Linked DNA regions of Caenorhabditis elegans. The protein of the gene in region 1 interacts with the protein of each later gene in a pairwise test. Each region holds a gene or a part of one and is shown in the gene's direction. Other genes may lie near its edges. The genes, in order: F11A5.13 and rpl-28.

Region 1 (3,231 bases):
AAGGAAAAGAAGGAAAGGATCAAAACACTGGAAAAGGACGATAACAAGGCAAAAGATGCAAAAGGACCGTCAAAAGTCAAAAAGGAAAAACTACAGAAAACTGACAGGGGAAGTGCTGTAAGTACATAAAGCTGAAATTTTTAGAGTTTTCATCAAATTTCCAGCGCCAGAAAACCAAAACTGGACAGAGCAACAGGCAGAAACGGCAACAAGGAAGTGTGGTGAGTCTTCGAATTGAATTTTCATCAGATAGCTCTTTGTTTCCAGAGAAGAAGTGCAGCCGCCAAACCTGAAAACGCTACTCCAGTGGCTACAACCCCTCAAGTTCCTACTGGAAAGAACTACGTGCCTCTTCAAAACATTGCTACAACTCTACCACAGCCTCCTCCAGCTAAGGATAAGAACAAGGCACCTAGCAAAGATGCAACGGGTATGATCTTTAGTATTTTGTACTTGCATGCTGTTGGTAGCTACTGCCGGCAGGCGCTCTCTGCACGCCTGCCTGCCTTCTTGTCACGGCATGCCTATCTGCCTACCTAAGTGTCTAGTATTAGGACATAAAAATAAATTTTCAGAAGGACTCCTGAAATCATGGATCTCGAAAGCGAAACAGAAATATGTGGGAAAGAATCCGAACATCGAATCAAGTACCCTTAACGGAGATGATTCTATTATTGCGTAAGACAGAATTGGGATTTCAATGAAAAAAAAAACAAGATTTTCAGACCGGAGCAAGCCAACATCAAGCCTGAAATAACAGCTGTTTACGGCCTCCCATGTGACTATGCGCCAAAAACAATGCCCACCAACAAAGATGATAAAAGTCATCCGGAGAAACTGTTTCCGGGAGGCCGCCCGTTTTGGATGAGTAATAATGGAAAGCCACCACCGGCCAAAGTTATCACCGTAAAGGACGCGGTTGATCTATGTACCAGTGGAAAACTTAAGTTTTTGGAAAGACAGACTGATGCGCCGTTAGTTTTTGTACATTTTTAAATGAAACTCAGGTGTATTTACTTTCCAGAGAAGATTTGAATCCGTATTCTGAAGATTTGCAGGCAATTTGTGCCAAAGATAAAGAGTTCTTTTCGGATTATAAAAGAGTAAGTTTTTTTTAAAGTTTCCAAAAAACTACCAAATGCTTTTTGAAGATCTGGACCAACACGTTATACAACTTAAACCCACTCCCAACTGATGCTAAGGACCGACCAGACCCGAAATCTACCAAACCTGTGTCTTTCAAGCTTCCGACAACGACTACTGTTTACAAAAGGTTTGCATTCTTTTAGCCATTAATAAACTTACAAAAATTATTTTCAGGAGAGTTCAATCAGAGGCTCAAAAAGTCACAACTGTGACTTTCCAACCCACACCGAAAGGTCAGAAAATGAAAAAGAAGAAGTCGTCGCCAAGTAATAGCTCTGCTACCGTTGAATGATGTAGAATGAAGGTTTTGAAGTTTTGGAAAATCAGATTTTGAATAATTATGCAAGACATTACATGGCGCCTTTTAGGAATTAAGCATTAAAAAAAGACTTAACGAAACTTGGCTTTTTGTCAGCTGTGTTGACAATCTATATTTTGTGAAACTTCAACTACAAAGTGAATAAAGACTTTCACGAAAGACAGGTGCGGTTTCAGGTTCTGACACCTAATGGTTCTTGCGAGGCAGGTGGAGGTCGCAGCAAGGCAGGCACGGCAGTCGTTTTGGCGCCTGCATGGAAACACTACTACAAAGTTTTTAACACTTTTCATGAAGAAAAAAGTGAATCTGGCAATTGACATGACTTCCGATCAAGCAATTGCAATTGATGAGTCATTTCAAACATGAGGAATAGTAAATTGATAAGAATAGGATTTAAACTACCTAAATTGGTAACCTTGTATTATATTGCATTGACTTTTAGAAAATGAGTTCTTGGTGCCATCGTAGTAAGTTTATTTCTCAATTTTGATTACCTATTTTAAAATTCTATAATTTTCAGTTAATCGCTTTATATCATCGATTATTTTGCTTATTGCCTCTCTACTTTTAATAATTCTCGGTTTCATTAATATTTTGGACAAGGACGAATTTGATAAGACTTTTGTGCCATACTGGATGATTATTCTAGCCTGCCTTACAATATCCGATCAGGTTATTTTTTGGAAACTGGAAATGGATAAAGATCAGAGATCACTGGTGCTGCTAGCTTTTGGAGCTGTAATGAGAGTTGGATTAGTTTCTTTGTAAGTTTTAAGCTTCCGCAAATTTTTTAAATATTATTTTTAACTTTTTCAGCACAATTTGTTTAGTGACGGCCAAGTTGATTGTATTGAATGCAAAAGGTGATCTTCCAAATGTTCCGGAAATATTTAAATTCGGTTTTGCATTAAGCCTAGTAATCATAAGTGTGTACATTTGTATTTTTACAAAATGTTTGGTTAAAGTCTGCCTGGCACGAATTAAAATGTATTTGGAGTTGGATGTAATTCAAGAGGTGCCAGAAGACTTCCCAGATGCTCAAGTTTGAATTTTTTGTTTTGTAATTGTTTTTTTTTAAATTTCATTTTTTGTTTTATAAATTCATGTACGCCTGGCAACCAGTCTCTGTCTGCGCCTCCACCTTCTCCCCACACCTCTGTCATTTCATAGTGACACACGCGCGCCCCTGATTTGTCGGTACACAGCTCCCGACTAGCCCTGCCGCCTCATCCATTCAGTATCGCTTCTTCGGCTTATTAGCTAAGATCAAAGTGTAGTATCTGTTCTTATCGTATTAACCTACGGTATACACTCGAATGAGTGTAATAAAGGTTATATGATTTTTGGATCCTAGGAAAGACTCGGGGCTTGCTCCGACTTTCCGCGGGTCGTACTGGCGTTGCACTGCTGCCGGGCTCGGCCCAGTCCCCGAGGGGACAAATAAGCTTATGAATTTAGACTTATAGCTTCGTACCTCGCCGGGATGTTGTGTTTTATCAGAATTTTAAACAGTTGTCAAGCCAAATTTAGAAAAAACCGTTGCTCTCAAGAACAGTTCTATGTATCTAGATGACTATGAGTAATTCGAAACAAAAACAATTTTTATAATAATAAAAGACATTCGATAAGGTTTCAACTAATTGTCTACGCCAAAGGCTTATTTTCGCTCTTTGCAAGAGCCTTCTCCCTGAACTCAGCGTTTCCTTTCTTAATGGATCTGTCGATTACAAAATCTGGAAGCAATTTCAAAATTTCACATTGAATTT
Region 2 (3,309 bases), 3.5 Mb from region 1:
CACGAAAACGGTCTGAAAGTTGTTAATTGCCGAAAACAGAGCTCTTTAATTTGATTATCTGCAATTTGTAACTTTAAGGTCATTTTAAACACTTTTTTTTAAATTTTCAACTGAAAAAATTATATTTTCAGATGAATCAAGTAATTTTCTATATTTAAGACACATTTTTAATTAAAAACATCCTTGTCCAACTTACACTTTGAGGATTACGTATCACTTCTACATCACATTCTCGAAGTTTTGCTAATCGTTCTTCAATTTCTGATATACTGAGTGGTTCAATTTGTGGTGAAATATCTTCTCGCAGTTTAAGTCTTCGCTGTTCCAGGTCATTGGTCGGATAATTTGGCTGAAAACTGAAAAATAAATTAAGAAAATTCCGTGACGCTAATTACCTTGGTCTGCTGCGATGGAATTTCTGGCGAATTCCTGAATTTAGTTGCTTTGACTTCACTATTTTTAATCTGATTTTGATTTGTGTGCGAATTCCTGAATGATGGCGGTGGAAGTCCATCACCCCACCAATTTTTATTCGATTTATTCGAATTATCTGGTAGAGGCGTTGATGTTATCTGAAAAAAATCGTGGGATTAATATCTATTTAGTTTTTACTTTGTTCTTTTTCTTACAGTCGCGCTGGGCTTCATTTTGGCAGATTCCAATTTTTGATAGCAATTGTTACAGACAATCATTGGTAAATCCGAAAGTGTGGGAATAATTGCACGATGAGGCAGACATTTCTTACAGAAGGAGAGAGCACAATTCGAGCAGCCGGCCTGAAAAAATAGAAATTAATTAGTTTTTGATGCCAGAAAATAACTTCTCTGTTTAATAATGAATATTTAGTTCTGCAGTTTGTGCAACAAATTGAGGAAGGCATTCTAGAGAAGAATTTCGGCATTTCGCAATGATACAAAATGAAGAGAATAAGGAAATGACGGTGAAATAACCGGTTTGAAGGTAAAAATGATAAAGTAGACAATTGAATTTTTCTAGTTCATTCTCCAACAATAAATTCACAACAAAACAAATCTGCCTAGATAAAAAACTAAAAGATATATCAAGAATACATCTAGAATCCTTTGCTGTAGAAGAATTGCTCAATAAGAACACGTGGAGCTCCTTTAATTTTGATACGACCTTTCAACTCATCGACGTGACTGGCGATCGAATGTCCAAGATGTTCTTCAAGATAGGAGCGGAGATCATTTTCGCAAGCCTGAAAGATATTTATGTTGATTCAGGATTTAATAATGTTCCCAACTTACAAAAATGTCTCCGTCGACGTTTCTGATAGTTACTAGCTCGACATAATCAAAATCCAACGTTTTCTCATTCAGTAAATCCCTTTTTCGTTCCAAATAAAGAGGAAGAAGATGGTCATGACGACGTCGAATGTAGTATTGATGTGTCTTGGCTGCTTCTGAAATATTTCGATGCGGTATGAATTTAATCTGTATATACCTGTCGGTGGTGTCCATCCGCTTGGTGTAGGATACTTTTCGTGCTCAGGAACATTCGGCACCACTTCTATTGGCATCAATCTTTCCACATACGACCAATCGATAGGAGCTTCTTCGACCGTTGCAAGACTTCTGGCTGTAATTGCTAGTAGAAAAATTATATGATAATAAATAACTTACACTTTTCAGGGAGAGCATGTTTCCATGGATTTTCCCAAAGTTTCTCAGCTTTTTCGACTGAAGTTGTTGAAAAAGACAACCTGGAAACTGCTCGAGGGGAGAAAATGCGGAGAGAAGAACCCAGCATCTTAATAAAATTATATAATTTTGAATAAAATCAAATTAAAAATAAGATTAATTGAAACACAACAATAGAATGCAGAAAATTACTCATAAGAAATAATTTATTTTGAAAGAAGTTGTGTCGATTTACGATAAAAACTACACGCAAACGAGGCTCCGCGTTTACACCGTTTGGCAATGGAGCGCGCTTGCTATTAGATTTTAGGCCAGCTCAACGAAAGTTTAATTTATTTTTCTTCTTTTTTTCCATTTTTTTGAGTAAAATATCGAATTTTTTGTATTAATTCTGTAAATTTTATAATTTGCAACTATTTTGGCGTATTCTGCTTGTTTTTATCAGCGAATTTTTATGCATTTCAGTCAAAAGTTTGAGCAGGAAAAATGACATTTAGGACTTTGTAAAATTGTATTCTTAAATTTGCTTGAAAACCTACGTGTACAATTGATTTTATTGAATTTTTCTTACGTTTCCCGTTGTATCTTATTGTATTTAACTTTCATCATAAAATAATTTATTTCCAGGTAAAATGTCCGACGCTCTCGTGTGGCAAGTCATCCGCAACAACAGCGCTTTCCTCAGAACCCAGCGCGGAATCGGAAAGCGATTCTCCACTGAGAAGTTCAACCTCAAGAAGGTGAACAGCCCAAAATACAGTGGACTCGCTAACAAGCACGCCATCGACGTCAGCGCCGCCGCCAAGGGAGTCGTTGTATCTACCAAGAACGAGAGTAAGAGATTTTTTAAAAATTTATTTTTTACACTGTTTTTTCTCAGAGGGAAGACCAGCCAAGGCCGTCACCACCTCCACCTTGAGCAAGACCCCAGTTGCTTCAGTCCGTCGCTTGGCCAAGAACGCCGGATTCAACAAGTTCAACAAGCTCGCTCAACGTCGTGCCGCCGCCATCGTCCGCTCCCAAGTGAAGAAGGCTAAGGTCCAAAAGACTGACGCATAAATGACGTTTGTTACGTTGTTGTTATGAATATAAAGTGTTACAGCTTATCAACACGTTAAAATTTTTTATTCAAAAAAAAAGTGAAAAATCAAGACAATTAGGAGTTGTTCTTTGTGAAGCACTCAATCCATCTTTTCTGGAAAAAATAAATATGTAAAATTTAGATTAGAAATCCTACCTTGTCGTCGTCAGATGCATGTTCATCTAAATATAAATCAATATCTGCCTTCAAAGAATCGATTTCGGTTTTTTTGGCACGCTTGTTCGAGTTAGCAATTTTAATCATTGCCTGAAAAATTTTTCAATATCTAAGAAGTCGTTTTAAAAATACCGAATGTTCGTCGATTACACTTTGAACGCCATCAATGGTTTCTTTTGAAATTCCACATTTTGTCAACATTTGAATCGGGAATCCACCACCTCCAGAGCAAATTGATACGAGAAGAAAGGACAGAATCAAAAATTTCATGTTGAAATAGCACTCAAATCGGCTCAACGTTGAATGGGCATGCATTCGACGAAAGGTCGATCACGACATTTTAGGTTCAGTTGAAACCGGTTATAGGGCATGGTATTTTTTCTCATTTGG

The links.
Region 2: the proteins of F11A5.13 (region 1) and rpl-28 interact in a two-hybrid assay, tested with the Caenorhabditis elegans proteins (one large-scale study listed by BioGRID).

The regions. Positions count from the first base shown.
Region 1 is NC_003283.11:16,225,361-16,228,591, reverse strand, and holds F11A5.13 (uncharacterized protein), read left to right. Parts: upstream 1-1,910; coding exon 1,911-1,932; intron 1,933-1,985; coding exon 1,986-2,229; intron 2,230-2,281; coding exon 2,282-2,513; downstream 2,514-3,231. Other genes in the region: F21H7.2 (Calpain catalytic domain-containing protein), read left to right, coding at 1-117, 165-221, 268-430, 576-678, 726-974, 1,025-1,103, 1,152-1,273, 1,321-1,438; stdh-2 (Putative steroid dehydrogenase 2), read right to left, coding at 3,110-3,231.
Region 2 is NC_003283.11:12,727,092-12,730,400, reverse strand, and holds rpl-28 (Large ribosomal subunit protein eL28), read left to right. Parts: upstream 1-2,288; 5' UTR 2,289-2,293; coding exon 2,294-2,495; intron 2,496-2,541; coding exon 2,542-2,720; 3' UTR 2,721-2,766; downstream 2,767-3,309. Other genes in the region: zfyv-19 (FYVE-type domain-containing protein), read right to left, coding at 197-349, 396-572, 630-776, 821-880; mrpl-49 (Large ribosomal subunit protein mL49), read right to left, coding at 1,073-1,219, 1,269-1,423, 1,465-1,599, 1,644-1,770; R11D1.13 (DUF148 domain-containing protein), read right to left, coding at 2,818-2,856, 2,899-3,009, 3,052-3,189.